Linked DNA regions of Schizosaccharomyces pombe. The protein of the gene in region 1 interacts with the protein of each later gene in a biochemical or structural test. Each region holds a gene or a part of one and is shown on either strand. Other genes may lie near its edges. The genes, in order: pop2 and rum1.

What was found.
Region 2: the proteins of pop2 (region 1) and rum1 form a complex in vitro, tested with the Schizosaccharomyces pombe proteins (one study listed by BioGRID).

What each region holds. Positions count from the first base shown.
Region 1 is NC_003424.3:5,349,837-5,361,153, forward strand, and holds pop2 (F-box/WD repeat protein Pop2), read left to right. Parts: upstream 1-4,950; 5' UTR 4,951-5,294; coding exon 5,295-7,406; 3' UTR 7,407-7,549; downstream 7,550-11,317. Other genes in the region: Sec7 domain-containing protein sec71, read right to left, coding at 1-944, 994-1,972; pgc1 (glycerophosphoryl diester phosphodiesterase), read right to left, coding at 2,770-3,589, 3,721-3,836; SMN complex subunit Gem6, read right to left, coding at 4,102-4,383; rer2 (cis-prenyltransferase), read right to left, coding at 7,556-7,666, 7,722-7,938, 7,985-8,244, 8,357-8,563; sum1 (translation initiation factor eIF3i), read left to right, coding at 9,120-9,182, 9,238-9,358, 9,715-10,517; met8 (siroheme synthase), read right to left, coding at 10,736-11,317. UniProt on the Schizosaccharomyces pombe protein: Involved in maintenance of ploidy through proteasome dependent degradation of CDK inhibitor rum1 and S-phase initiator cdc18.
Region 2 is NC_003423.3:2,793,813-2,804,746, forward strand, and holds rum1 (CDK inhibitor Rum1), read left to right. Parts: upstream 1-5,864; 5' UTR 5,865-6,776; coding exon 6,777-7,469; 3' UTR 7,470-8,105; downstream 8,106-10,934. Other genes in the region: protein Cwf12, read right to left, coding at 7-139, 201-215; P-TEFB-associated cyclin T Pch1, read left to right, coding at 1,154-1,332, 1,390-1,934, 1,978-2,282; SPOM_SPBC32F12.07C (MARCH family ubiquitin-protein ligase E3), read right to left, coding at 2,504-3,526; pgm1 (phosphoglucomutase), read left to right, coding at 8,705-10,369. UniProt on the Schizosaccharomyces pombe protein: Regulator of cell cycle G1 phase progression. Ensures the correct sequence of S phase and mitosis in the cell by acting as an inhibitor of the cdc2 mitotic kinase. Probably interacts with cdc2 to inhibit its action until the cell mass for Start is reached.

The DNA.
Region 1 (11,317 bases):
TTCGACAGTAGGCGCAAATGTTTGATTACACCATGTAAATAGAGAAGATAAAGTAGATATTAAACATCTATAAGACTTCAACCGAATTTGATAATCAAAGTAAGGTGGATTGTGCGAATGAACATAGCTTCCAATTGTTGACGAATTAAGCTGAGGAATATCATTCAATGTATGATATACAAACCCCGGTTTATCAATTACTAGCTGGTCATCACGGAAAACAAATGAAGGAGGAGGATCAGAAGTACTCTGACTTGCAATCCTTGATAGAGTAACAATTGCTCTTTCATAAATATTTTCAGTATTACCACTTATACAGTCATAATTAAGATAAAGTTCAATTAAGGTCTGTGGTTCTTCACACATGCGGTGAAAAATATTCAGCAGTACAATTTTTTGTTGATTGCTAGAGGTTCGCATTTCCAATATGGGAAAGAAGATTTCGGTAAAAAACACTTCTAACTCTGACTTGAAAAAATTTTTTAATTCAGAAAGAATTAACCAAAATATTTCACAAGAAATCTCGAATACCGGTAAAACATGGCTAACCACATTTTTAGCCAATGCAAGGCAAATGTATTGTTTAACAGCGTCAATCAATGGTGTCGGAGTTGAAGTTGGAGACCTTATTTTCACATTTATGTCCGAAAGGATGTTCATATAAGTTCGAAGAATATGATATATAAGATGCAAGCTCATCAACTTTGATCGCATCGATTGCGACTTTAGGTCGTATTCATGCTCATACGGAATGTTTTTAATAGAAAGCTTACATAAAGCTCTGATTAACAAAAATGCATCCCGAAGCAACTGTTGCTCCAAAGAATCCTCTTCCAAAGGAGCTTCTTCACGAACCTGGTCAAAGCTTTTTCTGTGCTCGAAAGATTCAAGTGTGAGTTTGTTTTCTGATAATTGAGAAGGTATAGGAGAGTTAGCACGATCAGCTAAAACAATAAGTTAGTATAAAGAACTAAAAACATGATGATTGCTTACGAGTTCCATTACTGGATGATTTATTCATGTTAATAGTAGAAAATTCTCTTTCATGATTAAGAACGGTAGAAAGGCGCTGGAATACTGAATCAACCATTTGTAAAAGAGCTACCTGAGCAATGGCTTGGGTAGTTGAGTCTTTACATAAGAGGAAAATATTGTAAGTTTGCCTCACTGCTGTAAGTAAAAACGAATGTCTAATGATTGTCCTTTCAGAAGTAATAGCTGCCAATAAAGCCTTTACAATTTGTAGCTGCACTCTTTCTGGAGTAGACTCACCGCAAAAACAGGATGCAATAGTGTTAACCACACGTTCCATTAAGGTAATATCCGATGGATTTAATGTTGGGGAATCAAAATAATTGTAATCAATCAGCTTGGCAAAGCAATCCAAAGTAATAGTCAGCAACGTTGTACTATTTGTTTGACAAGCCATTACCAAAGGTTCCAAAATGACTTCGGGAAGAAGAAATGGCTGCTTTTGTAATTCTATTTGGACATTATTGATAGCCTCCCTAAGCTTCTTATGCCGTTTTGTAGCCTTTGCTTTTGACATATGCTTAAAAGCCTCAATTACGAAGAGTTGAGGATTGAGTTTGCCAGAGTTTTGGTTAGAGGCGTTTGAAATATTCTTCCAAATCTTTAGATCTTGTGGAGCTTCAGAAGTAGATGTAGTCTGTTTGCTCAGAGTACCTGTTTGTTCACTTTCAATCGAACGTGAATCTAAGTCATCTTCTGGAGGTCTTAGAGATAGATTGCTTTCAATATCTTTTTCCGCTTCTAAGTTTTTATCGTTAATTTCTATACTTTTTTCAGTATTAGACTGTTCAGGTATGGAATCATGTTCATCTATTTCATCAGAAACTCGACTTTTGATTGTTGATTCACTATCCGGTTCTTCTTCGACAACAGACGATCCTTTTACTTCATCAGGATTACTAGAAACCCTACTAACGGTTTCTATCTCCAAATCTGTCATTTTGACATGTATGATATTTGATGTTGTAGCTATGCAGCTATGAAAGTATTATAGTATGAATGGATGGGTACGTATACTACCACTCTGCACACCACGAACCAGATCATAATTTTTTCTTTGAAAATTAACCATTGATTATATCCCTAAAAAAATAAAATTCATTTCTTTGTAATTTGTTTGATAATTTAAGCTAGAAGCATGCTTCGAATTAAGTACGTTTTTTTTTTTTTAATTAGAAAATCTCATTGAACTTCTTATAGACGAATTTATATTAATAGTTAACTGGTAGCATCTATTGTTGATGAATCAAGGCTCTTTTGTTAATATACTGACTCAAACTATTAAAAGTGTTAACTAGTTCTTAAATATTAGTTTTCATAAGATAATAAGAGTATCAATGATTAAACTACTACTGCAGAATACGCTTGTTCCGTACTAAATGCAAATTATTTAGGACGGCATAATGCCTTGCCAAGTTATGTTATTTATTGTAAATAAGTATATTTTTGAAACGAAAAAAACGATAGAAAAAAACTTTTTTATCAATTGAAATGCCACGTATGTTTGCGAATTTCTCTTTTTTCTGCTTCAACGTGGCTGTCCTAATGACAAAAATCTTTAGTGAGCGATTGCAATAATACAAAAAGATAGAGCGTAAACTCTCAAGCAAATAAGAAAAAATTGGGAGATGGGATTTAAACAAATGGAAGAGCAACAAAAATGCTCAATCACTAAAACCGGAATTCTAGTATTCATCAATCATAATATATGTATTTTCCATATTTAGAATAACATACTTACAACACAAAGGTTCTCAATAAAAAGAAGACAAATTGTGCTCGTAAGAAACCATAAATCATATGAAGCCACTCGGAATAATGGAAATAATGCCAAGATTTGGTAACAATTGGGCCTTGGGAAAGAGCTCTAGCCATCACCGGATCATCAGATAAAAGTCCGTCACAGCCTCTAATTAAAGCAAGATAGATAGAAGAAGGTGTGTTTAAAGTCCATGCAAAGACTTGTTTACCTTGGGCATGAACGAGATCAACAAAATCCTGAGAATGAGGAAGTAAAAACAGAGCAACAGCCATACTGACACCCTTTACTCTGGGATGCATAACAAAATGTCTTTCAGCATAAGCGAAGTTGAATCCAATATGATATAACGGAATTGATGGGGCATATCGATCACAAGCAGGGATGAACCTATGTGACCATAAACAAAACGATACTTTGTCTTTCCAAAAGTCTAAATCAGAATTAACCCGAAGCATTGCATCAACCATTCTGGGAATAATTAACAAATCGTTTACTGGCTTAATGTCAACAAGTAGATTGACGCCAGGATGCTTGGTTAATTCATGCAAAAATTGTTCATAGGTAGGTAACGGCTCGTGAGGCTCTTGAATGGTACGAAAATGACCATTATCCAATTCATAATCAAGATCTCGAACATCAACATCAACACCGAATACTCTGTTAAGATTTCTATCATGCAAAATGCAAACCACTTCATCTTTAGTTAGTCGAACATCTGTTTCAACGCAGTCAGCACCAGCCTTTACGGCTTGTTGAAATGCTAGTATAGTATTTTCAGGATACTTAGCTTTGTATCTGTAAACATAAGTTAAACATTTGCTAAATTGGAGAAGGATTTTGACAATTAAGGGTACAAAGTTGCAGATATGAAACTAAGTCTACTAATAATAAAAGCAGTATGCAACTAATACATTCATAAAACATACCCTCTATGAGCAATGACCAAAGGCGGTTTTGAAAACGTGGCTAAAGAACTCGTATTTTCAGCAATGCTTTGAGCAGCATCATCAACGGTATTGGCAATTGAGTAGTTAAAAGCCATTTTGAAGAGAACGATGTTGGTATTGGGAGAAGTAAAGAATGTAGCAACTATATACCAGTTACTGTAGTCCGATGATATCACTCCGCTCCGCTCAGGTTGCAAAAAAGGCGTTGAAGTGATTCGTCGAAGTCAATTCAGTATAACAATATTTTATATAGTTAATTTACGATAAAGGAAGGAAAACATTTCCCTCGCAAAAGAAGCGAATTATCCATCAGAATTGTAGATTCAAATCATATATTTCAAACGCTGAATGCAATTCGCATCATGAAGTTAATAGAGAATCATATTCTGCTAGCGATTGTTGATTAAGAGGAGACATACTTTCGTCGGGTTCAATGGTCTGAATAGCATCCGACATTATACCATAAAAACGATAATGAGTATCTTCAACCTCGTCTGTATTGGGAGTAAGAGGTTGAATCAAAATTAATGTTCCAGTCAAGGGATCACAGTTCCAAAGAAATCCTTCTACTGGTAAACGTCCATTCTTAAACAGGACGCGCAGGTAAGAACCTCTACGCTTTTCTGTTGTGTGAGAATCCATTTCATTAATTATTCAAATAATGTGAGAAAACAAAAAAGATAAAAAAAACATTAATAAAAACCAAACTTTTTAAAACACGGTTTATGTTCAGGTCAAAAAGTAGTAGCAATTTTCGGTAGCTGTATGAGAGGCGTGGAATTACAAGATGAGTATAGCTTCCGTAGCAGACGTAAATCAAGTATGTTTTTCATTCGAACCCAAATTTTTAGTTGTTTTTGAATTTATGAAACTGATACTTAGGCCATTATGGTTTTTTTTGCTAACAATATACCAGCAATGGGATTTACAATCAGTTTTCGTATTAACTTCCATAAAACTTATTTTATTTATCAACGAACATCAAATTCTAGCTCAGAAAAATAAAAAATGCATATATTTTGTTTGAAAACGCTGCTTACGCTAATCTGTATCATATAACTTCTACTCAATTTTCTTAATCCATGTTTCCTGTTTTAGGTACCGCTTTATATTTATTTACTTAAAAAGTATCAATTCATGTATCTTTTTATTACAAGTTTTGCATTCGCATTGTACGAACTTTTGTTTACAAATTCTCCGCCAGAACTTGCCTCCTACCACACACAAAGATTCTGTATGGTATGAACAACGCATATTGAGCTTCTGTTATTTTTTCAATTAAAAGATTACTTATAAAAAAACCTTTCCATTATTCATTTTCTCTTTATGCCCGCACTTTTTAATCTGTATCTAATTTCGGCATATGCCAGTTTTTGATTAATCTGTAGAAACAAACCATAACGGTGTTGTTTCTTCTTTCCAATCTGTCAGTAACTTTTTCATTGGTCTCTTTTCCAATTTATTTTCAGATTGTTTTATCGACTGTTTTCCTTAAAGCTCATTTTTGACTTCTTATTTATTTCAACGAAAAATCACAATCATTGCATCTACGCATGTCACTCTCTAGGTGTCCAACTGACAATTCGTCCTCCCGTATAAATTCCTCTGTTCCTTTAATAAATAGCAGCAGCCCTGCTACACCTCCAGAATCATTTGATCCTCAAGTATTTCCTTCTTCACTTATTCATGGGGATAACCTGCTTCCTCAAGATGATCAAATTGCATCGGATCCTCGCTCAGAATCAAATAGTTGTAATGGCAATACGAGTTCTTCCCTGCCGTGCACTGATTCGTATCAGTACCCATTAAAGCATTCTTGTACGCCTTCTTTTCTTCGAAAGTTTAATGAAAGTATAGAGAATGTCTCTTATAAATGCTTAGACCACTCACCGCCAGATAGTGTTCCTGGCGATTTTTCCATTTCCCTTGTTCCTCAAAGGAATTTTCTATATTCTCATTCTTCTCTTCCACCTAAAATTATATCAATTGATAGAAACAATCGAATTAAGTTAGATAATAGCATTTCATCTAACTCCGACAATTTCCCTCCTTCTCCGAAAGTCGACACATCAAACACTGTTTCACCTGGTAGTAAACCTATCTCTGAGGATCTTGAAGATTTAAACTTACAGTCAATTGTTCAAACTTTTGAGGATCTTCCAGAAGGAATTCAATCTTATGCGTTTTTTCAACTACTCCGTTCGTGCAATCGGCAATCGATGCGTTTATTATTGAATGAATGCGAGCCGCTTCTAAAAAAAGATATACTTTCAAATCTTCCTTTTTCCATTGTTCAGTCTATATTATTAAATCTGGATATACATTCTTTTCTTTCTTGCCGTCTTGTTTCGCCTACTTGGAATAGAATACTTGATGTGCATACTTCATACTGGAAACACATGTTTAGTTTATTTGGCTTTCAAATCAATGAAAATGACTGGAAATATGCTAATCCAAACTTAAATCGTCCACCTTTTTTGCACAACGACCAAATCTCAGATGACTATTTTCCGGAAATTTTCAAAAGACATTTTCTCAATAGAAAACGATGGTTATTTCCTTCGATACCTCCAAGTCATCTATCTTTTCCCATTCATGTTCCAAACTTTATGATAACTTCTTTACTACTTCATAAAGACAGAATAATCACCACTTCGGGATCTGGAACAATTCAAATTCATAATGCTATTACCGGTGTTTTAGAAGCTCGATTAGAGGGTCATAAAGAAGGTGTTTGGGCTGTCAAAATACATGAGAATACACTTGTATCTGGTTCGATCGATAAAACTGTTCGCGTTTGGAACATAGAGAAAGCTAAATGTACGCACATATTTAGGGGACATATTTCCATCATCAGATGCTTAGAGATCTTAGTTCCGAGTCGTCTTATTCGCCATGGAGTTGAAATTGTTGAACCAGATCAACCGTACATTGTCAGCGGCTCTCGGGATCATACACTTCGGGTTTGGAAGCTTCCAAAAAACACGGATCCTCCTTATCTTCCAGATAATACAAACTCTATTGACCGTTGGGAGAAGAACCCGTATTTTGTACATACTTTGATAGGACATACAGACTCTGTACGAACTATATCCGGCTATGGTGATATACTTGTGAGTGGGAGTTATGATTCTTCAATTCGCATTTGGAGAGTTTCAACAGGGGAATGTCTTTACCATCTGCGGGGTCATAGTCTTCGTATATATAGTGTTTTATATGAACCAGAAAGGAATATTTGCATAAGCGGTAGCATGGATAAGTCCATTAGGGTTTGGGATTTATCGACAGGGACTTGTAAATATGTGCTTGAAGGCCATGATGCCTTTGTTACGCTTCTTAATGTATTCCAGAATAGGTTGATATCAGGTTCTGCTGACTCCACAATTAGAATATGGGATTTGAATACTGGGAAACCATTAATGGTTTTGCCGTCTAATTCAGGCTACATTAGTAGCTTTGTGTCAGATGAACACAAAATTATTAGTGGTAATGATGGTTCTGTAAAGTTATGGGATGTTAGGACTGGAAAGCTGTTACGTTTTCTATTAACAGACCTCACAAAAATATGGCATGTCGATTTTGATGCTATGCGTTGTGTGGCTGCAGTGCAGCGTGATGATCAAGCATATTTGGAAGTTATTAATTTTTCCGGATCAAGACCGTAGAAAGTTTCATTTTAACAATATTTAAGAAGACATAATTAGAGTAGTGTCTAACTATTTACATCAGCTACTAACACATATTAAATGTATACAATGTAAAATTAACAGCCAAAGCCTATCAAAAGTAAATAAGTAACGAAGGATTGAATAAATTATGCTGGTTGGTTTTGTAACTGGTATTGAATTAACATTGGGAAAAACTTCCAGATAGAAAAATCCGGCCAGTAGAAATCGATGAATTTTATCTCCGTATTTTTGTGACACTGATAAAATTAGTTGAATATCTTTGACTAGAAAATTAGGAGAATTTTTACTTACCTGCCATAACATAAAATCAGATAGACGCTCCACACCGCTAGTGCGAATCAACAAGTCTAAAGGAAGACTATCTTTTATCAATAGGTTTTTTTCAAATATATCTTCATCTATATCTTCTGGAGTGATTGTACCATCTTCTGCCATTTTTACTATTGATTGCACAGAAGTAGCAATTTCATGTCGAGAAGTGTATGGAAAGCAAACATTTAATGTTGCCCTAAGATGTCAATTAGCAAAATAAAAATTTGAAAAATTTCACATACTTTGTGTTATGTTTTGTAATTTCCACAGCCTTTAGAGCAGTTTCTAAAACGTCAGGTTGCAACCTGCTAAGATCGCCAACAATGCGAATACGGATCCCATACTGATCAACCAAATCACCATGAGCAGTAATTTGCGTTAAGCTGTTTTTTGCAATCTCCATTAACATATCAACTTCATATTTAGATCGCTTAAAATTTTCAATGGAGAATGTGAAAGCCGATACTTCTTTAACTCCTAACTTCAGACACACTTTTAATAGCTTACGCAGGGTTAGTTAATGTACCAAATTGTGCAGAACGTAGACGGATACCAATGCGCAAAACATGGAGAAACGGTACGTTTAACCTTCTATTAATGTTCTTTAAACTTACAGATTTTAAAGCTTCAAAACCTGAGCTATGACCCTCGATAGTTTCCATCCTTCTTTGACGAGCCCACCGTCGATTGCCATCCATTACAAAGGCTATGTGTTGTGGTACTTTGCCACGTTTAATTGTATTTATCATCATCGTTTCTAATTGATCAAGTGTCCATTGTAATGGAGGACAGTGAATAAACCAGCCTGATAAATTACCCATATTGTCAAGATATTTTGTCAATTCTTTTCTTTTCCTTTATAAATGCACGCTAAATATCAAAGAGAAATAATTATCTTGATAAACAATTATTTTCAAAAAACGATTAGATGTTTTTGACGCTTCTATAAAACACTCAGGTTATCCGGTTCTAGATATGTTTTATAAGTATAATTACCAAGCACGCTAGAAAAGGATTTTTAGCTAAGGAAATATACTTTCAATCGTAAACGAATGGAACAAAGAGACGCTAGTTTAAGACCAAACGCTTTTGTATTTTTTTTTAAAAATCACGAAAGAAATATTATTTTTTGTACAAATAAGTAAGACAGACAAAATTCAAACAAAACCACAAAATACTGTTTTCAAAGTGAGACGTGCGACCTTTGGGTCTAACTAGTCTAACGCAAGTGTCTCAGAAATGAAGCCAGTTCATTTAAGAGTGTCGTTAAGCCTCCTTATTTTTAATACCATCCTTAAGTTACGCTAATTAGAATCAAAATATTACAACTAAAGACTTTTCGCTCAAACCCTCTACCAGCACTTTCCTGTTCAAAAGATGAGGCCTATCATTTTACAGGGTCATGAGCGTCCTTTGACTCAAATAAAATATAATCACGATGTAGGTTTAATAACCGTCCATTATATGTGGAAAATTTACTAATTTTTGTGTGTAGGGTGATTTATTATTCTCATGTGCCAAGGATAAAGTGATTAATGTCTGGTTTTCACACAATGGTGAACGCCTAGGTACATATGAGGGTCATACTGGTGCAATTTGGACTTGTGATATTAATAGTACGTGAAAATTGGTGGTGATGTATGTTGGATTAAGACATCTAAAGGTATACGGATTATGGAAGTATAAGGAAACACGAATAATGAAACATATCATGACTCTAATAAATGTATTTTTTTTATTAGTCGTCCGATTGCAGATGGTTATACTCGTGATCCACGATTCTGAGTTGGCGTAGTACTTAAAGTTAAATATGCATGGTGCATCTCCTTTACTTATATTAATGCTACGTTTACCTCACTTCACTTCCTCGTGGAAAGCATTTAAACTTCTTTTAAATCCTTTTCCTTCTTCTTGATGCCTCAAATCCAACTAGATCATCTGTTCCTTTTCCAATGGTTACTAACTGAAACAGAAAGTAGCACTTTAATGGTTAGTGGAGCCGCTGACAATACCATGCGTCTTTGGGATGTTAAAACAGGAAAGCAGTTGTACAAGTGGGAATTTCCTACTGCTGTCAAACGTGTTGAGTTCAACGAAGATGATACCCGTATTCTTGCTGTTACCGAGGAACGTATGGGTTATGCTGGTACCGTCACTGTTTTCCGTGTTCCTATTTCGGAAAGCGATGCCGCTGCTGAAACCCCCCTTTACGTTATTACTACTCGTGAATCTAAAGCAACGGTCGCTGGATGGTCTTACTTGAGCAAGTTTCTCTTTACTGGTCATGAAGATGGCTCCGTTTCCAGATACGATGCTATAACCGGAGAATTCGTTGAATCTAAACAAGTTCATAATTCTGGTTCTACTATTACTGATCTTCAGTTTTATCCTGATCGTACTTACTTCATCACTTCTTGCAAGGATACGACTGCTAAAGCTATTGATGTTGATTCTTTTGAAGTCATCAAAACATACCTTACTGATACGCCTCTTAATACTTCTAGTTTTACTCCTGTCCAAGACTTCGTTATTTTAGGAGGTGGTCAAGAAGCCCGTGATGTTACTACTACTGCTGCTAGACAGGGTAAATTTGAAGCACGTTTTTATCATGCGATTTTAGAAGAAGAGTTAGGCCGCGTTAAGGGTCATTTCGGTCCTATCAACACAATAGCTGTCCATCCCAAAGGAACCGGTTATGCTAGTGGTGGAGAAGATGGTTATGTTCGGGTGCACTTCTTCGATAAAAACTACTTTGACTTCAAGTATACATTGTAGGTTAATTTTATTCAAAAAACTGTTGATAGTATAGTAATGGACAACGGAACTTTTTTCCAAAGATGTATCATTTTCGTTTAGGGAGCATTATATGAAAAATAACCTTCTATGAGTACAAGAGTTTTTTAATAAATTCCATTCAAAATTCAAATGTTTTAAAGTGAAAAGTAATGTAATTGTCATATTCCGTAAAGCAACTAACTTATCAAACGCTTCTTTTAACGAGCTTTTGAAACATGTTTGAGGAGAACAGCCCCAGAAATTATAATTGCTCCAAACCATATGTAGTTGTCTATCTTGCTGTAGGCTGGAGTCGTTATTTCTCGATAACTAGGTGTTTTTTTTGGGAAGTATCCCAAAAGTCGGTTGATGAGATTTTCGTCGAGCATGGCAAGTTCCTCCAAAGACCACAGTTCGCAAATCTCAATCATCCATCTCATTCTTTTGCGACTGTTTTCAGGTTCGGGAACAATGTCTCGTAATTTTTGTCGTAAAAGGCCAGTTTTTTCCAATGCCATACCAGTAGCTGGATTGATTGAACTTTCGATTTTTTTTCGTATTAAACTGGCAAGTTTTGGACCTTTACCATTGGTGCTAACCATAATTTGTAGAGGGCCGTTACGGATTTCAGACCCAAAGTAGAAATCACATTCAGGTGGAATATCCGCCGCATTGACCGGGATTTTTTTGCTTTTGCATAACTTATAAATTTCGGAAGACAAGCTGGGATCATCTATGGCTGTAAGTACCATGTTTACATCGTCAGACAAATCTTCGACTAGAAATCCCCTGTCTCGCCA
Region 2 (10,934 bases), on another chromosome or scaffold:
ACGTACCACTTTGAATTCGAGAGATCTTGCGAGAGATATCTTTTACTACACTAGCCCTATGTTTTTCACATATCGGCACAGACTTAATGCTTTTTATATCCTTGGGTCTCTTTTCCGTTGGTTTGCTGCCCACTACATACTATAACAAAGGGGTTAGTGACTGACGCTTAGGTTCTCATGCATATTCGTATGAACCTTACTTTCGCTGATGACATTGTAAAATTAAATGAAAATGATAGACTTGGTAATTAAAAAAATAGAGAAGGAAAGGCTCATTAAAATTTGACACAGAAAATAAATAATATAGACAAGTTTTATGGTATTTATCGAAATCAAGGCAAACCCAACACTTAATTAATTGACCTTCAACAGCCAATTCTTATTTAAGTACTTGAAAATTTGCTCAAGTTCCACCGATTGTGAAGACAAGCAAAAAACTTATAAGCAAGAAATTGAATGCATACAAGTAGTTATTTCGTGTAAGAAACACTTTATAAAACGGAAAAGAACAGCCAAAGTGAATAAGCTTATTGAAGCGCAACAAGCTTCTTAATTCATGGATAACGAAGTCCTCTTCTAAAAAAAGTACTAGTCTAAATAGTAACTAAGTATTTTATGTTCACTACAATTAAAGGATGATATTATTGCATAAATGGTCCCTTTCAAAATGATTACCACTTTTAATCCATCGTATTCAATATACTGTCAAGAATTAGGCAATTGTTGATGAAGTAGGTAACATCAATCATTTGGAAAAGTTCATTTCATCTCTTTGGTATCGGCTTTAACCTAAAAAAGAGTTGTTTATAAGAGATTAGCAGAACGATTTATAAGTATACAGTTGATTTTTTGAATATCTTACAAAGACTTAAAATTAAACAATCGTTGAGACCGTCAAAATCGTTAAAACTGACTTACGAATTATTCTAATAATCACTATATTCAATCAACGTAAATGGACAAGCATCGTTGTGGTAGATTTCCCCCTGAAAGATAGTAACCACCCTCCATTCTTCGCATTCTTTAGTTGAGGTATGTTAATTATATACTAAATGATTTACTGTTCTTTGATTTTGCTTATTCTTGCTCAATTATAGTTTGTTTTTAATAATTTGGCGACGGTAATCTCATATATAAAATCGATGAATTTCACATGAGTGAAGTAATAAAATCTGTACCCCCGGGCTCTCAAAACACTTCTCAGTGGATAATAAGTAAAGATCAGTTGGTATTTACTCCATCTGCATTAGATGGGATACCTTTAGATCAAGAAGAAATTCAAAGATCTAAAGGATGCAATTTCATTATAAATGTCGGGCTGAGATTAAAACTGTACGTTAATTACGATGTATCAGTTCAGTAAATTAATGAAACTAACAATAATAACAGACCTCAAACTGCGCTTGCTACTGCTAACATCTATTTCCATCGATTTTATCTTCGATTCTCACTCAAAAATTATCATTATTATGAAGTTGCTGCTACTTGCATTTTCTTGGCAACCAAGGTTGAGGATTCCGTTCGTAAACTTCGCGATATTGTAATTAACTGTGCAAAGGTTGCTCAAAAAAACAGCAATGTTTTGGTTGACGAGCAAACCAAAGAATACTGGCGGTGGAGAGATGTTATCTTGTACACAGAGGAAGTACTGTTAGAAGCTTTATGCTTTGACTTTACGGTTGAACATCCATATCCTTACGTCCTAAGTTTTATCAAAAAATTCGTGGCTGATGATAAAAATGTCACTAAGGTTGCTTGGACATACATTAACGATAGCACTAGAAGTATCGCATGTCTACTTTACTCTCCGAAAACTATAGCTGCTGCAGCATTCCAATTTGCATTAGAAAAGAACGAAATAAATCTCTCTACTACGACTGATGGGCTTCCGGTATGGATGGAAGAGTCTCAAGTTTCTTATGAAGACGTTAAAGGTATATTATATATTTTTTTATAGCCTTAGCACTAACAATGCAGGAGTGTTGACACTAATCGACTCGTTATACAAAAAGATAAACCCTTCCAAACAAGCCCTTCCAATCGACCAAAAAAACGGATCTCATGCTTCCAGCGTAGCTCCTGGGACACCGTCGTCATTGGCTTCCGTCTCGACACAAGCTACCCCTCAACATCAAAATTCATCAGGAAGAACTGACTCATTTCATTCCCTAAACACAGAAACCCCATCAAAAAGTACGGTGGACGACCAAATACTGTCGACAGCCGCCCAGCCAAAAAAATCATCTGATACAGATAAAGAGATGGAGACGGAAGCTTCATAAAAAAGAAAAATAATTCCAGATTGGAAATTTTATAAGTTATAAAAATTATTAATGCTATCAGCATCTTTATATTTATTTTTGGATTCGAATAAATCGATAACACGGTTTTAGAATATTGCTCGTAATAAAAGGCTTAAATTAAGTTCATGAGTATTTTTAAAAAGTAAATGCGTGAAAGAAATATTGCCGGAACTTAACAGTTTGACAACTTCATTGTTTGCTTATGAGTCAGAAACTCTACGAGGATTGTCGAGAATTCGAATGCTCCAGGGTTTTCTCTTTCTCCAAGCAATGAAACCATAGACAAAAATGTCCTTAAAAACTAATGCAGCAAAGGCACCAATAATGCTCTTCTCTAACTTTGTGAAATTCCCTGGAATAAACCTTCCCAAAAATTTCCCTGCTAATGGGAATAGTAGAATCGGTCGAACAATACGGAGAATTTTCGTAGTAAAAGCATCAAGGAAAACGTGTGCCACAGACAAAAGAATCCAAAATTCAGATTCTGTATCTTCTCTTTCGTTTACATCCTCGACTTGGTTACGATGCTCTACTTGTGCTTCAAACTGGCGAAACCAATCAGTTTCAGAATCTTCAAATTCCCCGTCCGCTCCAATTACAATACCGTCAAATATACGGGTCATTAGTTCCTTATATAAAGATCTTACCCAAGGCAGAGTGCACAGTAGAAGTGAGGTATTCGAAATCTTTTCCGCGCAACTATAAATTGAAAAATGCGTGTAGAGACTAAATGCTATATCATAAGGCGGAGCTTCGTAGAACCGAACCAACATGCATGGTAATAAAGGCAATACGACAGAGGAGAAAACTGGCTTTTTTAACATTTCTATCAGGCTGCTTTCATCTGCCACCTGTTTACATATCCATATTCCAGTCTGTTTGAATATTGAATAAATAAACTTGGTAATACCTAAACAAGAACCTACACCAAACGTTACTTGAGCTAGACCAGCTTCAAGGGAATGACCGATTCCAAGAACGTTTACAGCCCAAGACTTTTCCTTTGGCGGTTTAGCAATTCTATATGCGGTAAGACATTGAGGACAACGAGTACTGCCAGATCTGGTAATGTAAGAAATCAAACAACTTTCATGAGCAATGAGTGAACACCGACACGGACGTCTCCAAGAATCATTTGAAAGGGAGCATAGTTTTTTGTCGTATTCCTCATAGCATATCCAGCAGCGAGCACTGCTTTTCTCATACTTCGCGGTGTCCGTCATTTAGCAGAACCTCGGGGTTTTCCAATACAAAAAAGAAAATTTAGAATAAATAAAATAAACGCTTAACGTCAATGTTTCAAAACAAAATAGGTTTTAAAATATAGGCATTTTCCTGAACAAATTCTAACATAAAGATAGTTCAGTACTTTCTCATAAGTTTAGGAGCCTTAGTAATTAAAAAGATTGGGTATTGAAAGTAAAGTTGAAAGTGTGGAATGAACAATATAATTTAAATGATATGAGTAAAAAAGCTGTTTACAATTACTTGTGTAGCTTTTTTAATGCAAACGATTTTAGAATAAACTTCAAATCCCTAAAACTATCGTAAAGTAGTTCGTTTTGAGCGATTGGACGGATTCGTGGTGAAAGGTGGTTGAGTGGTTTCACGAGTGCTTGTCCTGCTACGAGTTGAGGGGTGCTGAGGAACGGAGGGCACATTACTGACTCGTGAAGGTGGACGAAGTCTAGAGGAAGTTTTAGAAATTATACTTTTTCTATTTGAAGAATTGAGACCATTATTAGGAATCGAACTTGCTACGGATGGCAAGTTGGATGTTGGTATAGTAGGAGCAGAGGAGGTGGCCGATTTTGGAATTGCGGATTGGCGATGACTTGCAAAAGATGAAGAAGGAGTCCTAAGTGAGTTTGGGTTAGAAGTCGTAGCCATGCTAACCCGAGAACGCACATTCATGGATGAAGACCTTGGGAACATGGGAAGGCCTAGAAGGTACATATGAAGATGCGGCTCTTCTTGCAGGTCGGACCTTTGGATCTTTAGACCTTAATAACCTTTGCTGCTGTTGTTTTTGAAGAGCTATAGCTTCCTCTTTTTGCCTTCGTTCTTGTTCAAGTCGTTCTTGTTCTTGTTGTAATTCGATCTTTCTCTGCTCTTCGGCTTGTATTTGAAGCATTTTTTGATGTTGCAATCTTTCTAATTCTTCATTATCAAAAGACAAACCTTTCCAGTCGCTATTTAGTATTAGATTCTGAGTATGCTCCGTTTGGCTTAGAACCGATGACCATAATTGTATTAGACGATTCGAGTTGTTAATGGAGGTTTCGAATGACTTTATTTTTTCTTTAGAAGCAGAAAGACCATCCGTAAGCTTTTCTATAGTGTAATTAAAGCTCCTTAAAATCTGTAGTTCTTGTTGCAATTCAGATGTCATGTTCAAAGAAAAAGATAGACTATCCTATTAACTGAAGACAAGAAAAAATCACTAAAAAATATATAATTAACTCAAGTATAGAAAATAATTTCTTGTGTGCAATTTAAGCCTAACAAAGTATTCGATTGAAGATGTGCGAATTGTTTAAAGAAATTCAGTACAAAGAGTAGACGAAGGTTGTTTTTATTTTTTTTTACAAAAAATATAATAAATTAAATGAAACAGTTTGAAAAGAAAATTGCAGCGACTCCAGTTGTCCCTTAGAATAAGAACGATAGGAAATATGAGGCAGAGGTTAGTGTTTACACAGGCAGAGAAGAAGAAATGAATTGAATAAAGAGTTAGTTATGTGCATTACATTTTGATAATAGTTTTTGAAGAGGAAACATATTTTTAATTTTTAATTTAACGAACCTATCATTTTAATTGTTTCATTTGGCAAATGCATTGATACTATTTATTGTAAACAATAGGTAATGAAGCGTAAAATAAGTCATAACATGAACATTCATTTATGAATATTTTAATTATTGACCAATATGTTTATAATATTTTTTGATAAATTATGTTAGTAGCGTATTCCTTAAACACATAAATAAACATTGTCACGATTTAATTTTTAACAATTGTGATATATTTTGGAAATACTTAGCGATGTAGCAACCGTGTATTTACTTTGCATATTGCTGTTCCCATTTCGATTTGAAAATGGTGTTTGAAAGATAGTCGATTCTTCATAAATCCATTTTTCCTGCATTTGAGCTAAGGTAATAAATATTGCTTATACCATCAATTTGCTAATAAGGAACAATCTTAACGAAATATCCCTTGAATTAGTTTTGATAGTACTTGCTTTTAAATAACAATAAGAGACTTATTTCATTTACCATACTCGCGAAGTTTCTTCTTTATTAGAACTTCAAATGTAGTTTACTTTTATTTACGGTTTTGCAGTCATATATTTTTATTTTCGAACTGGAATATTTCTATGATGCTTAAAATTGTTAGTAAATTTTTTAGATTTTTGCTAAAGAGAACAGAAAATCGATTCTCATTTAAAATCTAACTACACATTTATGCAAAAATTGTACTTGATCAAAGTAATTAATTTAGCGTACTGCGTTACAGCCATCTAATAGTAATGGTTACCACGAAATGAGCAAATAACCAGTTAACCAGAACGTCAAACATACAGTTCTACTACTACATACATAAGCTTTGGGTTCCTTGACAGCGGTTGTTGCAAACTGAATTTTTTTGTTTTGGATTATATATAATATACAATCAATTGATCTTGTTTAGTCTTGATTCGTGTGTGTTTACTTGAGTGCTGCAGTAATATATTACTAAATTGTACGAATTTGGTCAAAGAGAATCCGCTTTTTTATCAGTTTTTTATTTTTAAAATTTAATTTTGAATTATACTCTTTACAAGGAACGGTAGCATCTTTATAAGAAATCGAGCATTCAATTTCTATGTGAAAAAGTTGAATTCGTCTAAGCAAACAACCAACTAGTTTTTAAATTCTAACATTAGAAAGAATATTTTTCCTTGTTAATTATTCTATTTACAATTTTAAAGTTGGCACATATCTTTTTTTGATTGGTTGATTCTTTGATATTTTAGCTGCACTTACTTCTTGGTATGAAGTGAAATTTTGCTTTTTAAAATAGACATTTTCCCATTCCCGTTTTCTAAAAGATTCCTTTTTTTTGTTTACTCCGAAAATTTCAATACCTTTCTTACAAGCTACAATCCCATTTTGTTCCTTCCTTTTGATATATTGAAGCCATTTCAATTGTTTCTATATTATTTCAAACAATTTTACAAATATTGTTTAAATTGTATAATTATCAAAGCGCAGTCGCTAGCTTGGTGGGTATTAAATTGTTACCTTTTCGTTTGCTACAGGTAACTTGTGAACATTTCTGGTGCTGAATTTTCCTACACCCAAAAACCATTGAAAAATACATTTTTTAAATCATATCGGAAAGCTTGAATACACGCTCTTCTGATAATCCGCTCGATACATAAAGGATTTCTTCTTGCATTTACCTGGTTTTTGGATTGTCAGTTCGCTATGGAACCTTCAACACCACCTATGCGAGGGTTGTGTACTCCATCTACCCCAGAGTCTCCTGGGAGTTTTAAAGGAGTCATCGATGCTTCGTTAGAAGGTAATTCTTCTATTATGATAGATGAAATCCCTGAAAGCGATTTACCAGCACCTCAAGTTAGCACATTTCCACCTACACCTGCTAAAACTCCCAAAAAGCAATTACTACCAAATTTAATGCTACAAGATCGGAGTAATTCTTTAGAAAGATGTATGGAAGAAGACAGAGAACACAATCCTTTTCTCAGTTCATCTGATAACCAGCTTTTGTCAAGAAAGAAGAGAAAGCCTACTCCTCCTCCTTCTGATGGTTTGTACTATGTTTTTCGGGGGAAAAGAATCAAGAAATCCTTCAGGCCTGGAACTGATTTATCTACTTTTAAGCCCAAACTCTTGTTTGCTGACTCGGCGCCTTCTTCTAGTTCAGATAACCCAACATCCTCTGTAGACCTTAATGACTATTCTCAAATTGGCATTCTCCCTCCAAACCTGAATTCTATTGGGAATAAAATGTTCTCGTTAAAATCAAGGGTTCCATCTTCCTCGTCAGGTTCCTTTGTTGCTCCCCCACCGCAAATGCGTTTACCTGCGTATTCATCACCACAAAAATCACGATCTAATACAAAAGATGAAAACAGGCACAATTTATTACGATAACTTTTTTTCGCATTTTGTAATTGTGTTTGATACCGTTTATATAAATGCCCAATCACGAAATACTCTTCTGCCTTATTCATGATAATCGTTCGTTTGAACTTTTGGTAGTAGATCAGAACCTCCTATTCTCTATTCTTGATGAAAATGCATTTTGACAAACGCTGGTCGTTAGTCATTCATGGTAATATCACCACAATATCACCACGATTTTCTTAATTGAGTATCTATAATTACATTTCCCCATCTTTCCATTTGTGCCTATTCATATTCCATTTGGCAACTTAATTTTTTATCGTCCTCCCGTGTCTGCCCTGAGCCATTGCAACTTTTTTTAGCAACCTTTTACGGCATGCTTTGAAATATTATACGTTTAACTTATTTCCTAATTTCATCCACTGAGCTTTTACTTTAAGACTTATACTAATATTACATGGCTTTCACAATTTTCTTTTCTTTGTTCAGAGAGTGAATATATTCTGAAATGTTGTATTTATCGATTAGTTAATAATGCTATTCGATTTCTAAATTTTTTGCTGGTTTGGAAACTATAGTCTGTTATTCTCAATAACTAGTTTTATATTCAATTGTTTTATCCCAGTAATAAAAAGGTATTTTTATACCGCATATACAATACTATTCTAGGCTTCTTAGACAGTTATACACATTACGGTATTGCTGTTACATTGAGTTAATTTGTGGTTTGGTGATATAGTGAAGTTTACTAGCTGGTACTGAAATCCTACAAATGGATAACAAAACTGGTTCTAAGCGTATGAAAGGAGTCTTTGGGTAAAATTATAGTGTAATATCGTTTCGTTCATTGAAGTAATAATTAGGCCTAACCGACTCTACTTGACTAACATTTTTTCTTCACACCATGAAGCATGATGAATAATGTATTTATTTATGTTACCTGAGCGGTAAGATGATTTGTTTACATAATGTCACTTTTATTTACATTTGCACTGCAAAATGACAACAAGGAAGCCACTTACATCACAGTGAAGTTCGTTAAAAATTCGTAACTCTTATATTTACATGGTACCCGTGTTTCTCCCCTCTACCATACTGAGCATATAAAATAACACAAAAGTTAGTGAATCATTTTGTGGCATATCCGAACACTCCTTAGCTTTTTACGAAGCAAAACAAGAAACGATTAATAATATCATCTATCTTTTATTGAAAGTCTAGAGTTTGCATAAGTCGAGGCTGTTTACTCATAGGAACACAACATGATCGAAACAATCCCAACGAAACCATATGAGGGCCAACGCCCTGGTACATCAGGTCTTCGCAAGAAGGTTACTGTCTTTGAGCAACCAAATTACGTTGAGAACTTTGTTCAAGCTACGATGGATGTAGTTGAACCATCTGCCAAAGGAGCCCATCTAGTTGTCGGTGGTGATGGACGTTATTTCAACTTTCATGCCATCCAAGTCATTGCTGCTATAGCTGCTGGCAATGGTGTTGAGAAGATCATTGTTGGTACAAATGGATATCTGTCTACTCCCGCCGCTAGTCACATTATTAGGAAGTACAAGCTAACCGGCGGTATCATTTTGACCGCTTCTCATAATGCCGGTGGTCCCAAGAACGATTTCGGTATTAAATATAACCTTGGCAATGGTGGACCAGCACCTGAATCTGTTACTGAGAAAATTTATTCCATTACTAAAACCATATCCGAATACAAAATGGTAAAGATTCCTCCCTTGGATTTAACGACGACCGGTGTCCGTAGATATGGCCCATTGACGGTTGAAGTCATCGACCCGGTCAAGGATTATGTTCAGTTGATGAAAGAAATCTTTGACTTTGATTTGATTCGCAGCTTCCTATCCAAAAACCCCGATTTTACATTTGTCTTTGATGCTTTACATGGTATCACTGGTCCCTACGGTGAGGCTCTTTTCTGTAAGGAACTCGGTATGCCTTCATCAGTTTGTCAGAATTGCAAACCTCTTCCCGACTTTGGTGGTGGTCATCCTGACCCTAACCTCACTTACGCCAAGAGTTTGGTGGCTCGTGTTGATCGGGATAACATTGTAATGGGAGCAGCATCTGATGGTGATGGTGATCGTAACATGATTTATGGTGCCAATGCATTCGTCACACCTAGTGACAGTGTAGCCATCATTGCCCATCATGCCGAATTAATTCCATACTTCCGTGATGGAGGTGTTCATGGGTTTGCTCGTTCAATGCCCACATCTGGCGCCATTGACAGAGTTGGCAAGTATAAGGGAAAGAATGTGTATGAGGTTCCTACTGGTTGGAAGTTCTTCTGCAACTTGTTTGATGCTAAGCGTTTATCCATCTGCGGTGAAGAGTCTTTTGGAACCGGTAGTGATCACATTCGAGAGAAGGATGGCGTTTGGGGAATCTTGTGTTGGTTGAACATTCTTGCTGGATTGAACGCGCAAAACCCCAAGATCAAGACGTTGATCGATGTTAAGAAAGATTTTTACAATATTTATGGCCGTACATTCTACAGTCGTTATGATTATGAAGAGTTGGAAAATGAAGCTGCCGGTAAGGTGATGGATAGAATGCGTGCCATTGCCGATGATAAGAGCAAGGTTGGAGAGGCAGTTTTGCCTGGTTTTGTCGTTTCTGAAGCCGGTGATTTTGAGTATCATGATCCCATTGATGGTAGCGAAAGCAAGCATCAAGGATTATACATCAAATTTGAGAATGGTAGTAGAATTGTGACACGTTTGTCCGGTACTGGATCCAGCGGAGCCACGTTACGACTCTACATGGAGAAGCACGAATCAGATTCGAGCAAGTTTGATCTTGATGCTCAAGTTGCATTGAAGCCAGTGGTTCATGCAGCTCTTGAAATCTTGGCTCTGGAGGAATTGACTGGTCGTAAGGAGCCAACTGTCATTACTTAAAGATAGTATATTTTATCATTGAATTTATGAGGTTTATTAGCTGAATTAAAAAACTACTAGCGTTTTAACGAATTATTTGCACTGAATTCATGAAAATCATGAGCAATAACGAATTACATTTTTTTTTACTAAACCCCTTGAGGGTTTTTCTTCTCTTCTTTTTTTTTAATAATACTTTGTATTACTAGGAGAAATGAATAAAAGCATTTTTACCATGAACCAACTCGATTGTTTAAAACTCAAATATGCATAGAGAGAGAGACAGACAGTAGGATAGAGGGATTTATTATTGGGTTTGCATAATGGAAAAATGATCATAAAGTAAACATTAGCTTGTAGAACGGTTGGGAATTAAACGGAAAAAGTTTATTTCTAAAACAAGTGAGAACTTGAATATAGATTTTAAAAGGAAAACATTTATAAATATTTTCTTAATGACTATGCTACATGAAAAGGAATCTGAGGAGTTGAAAAAGATACTTAATATGGAGTTGGGCATACCGAATGATGTATGAGAAGAGGAATGCTCAGTACCGTTTGTCCTAACGTAAAGTATTAATAAATA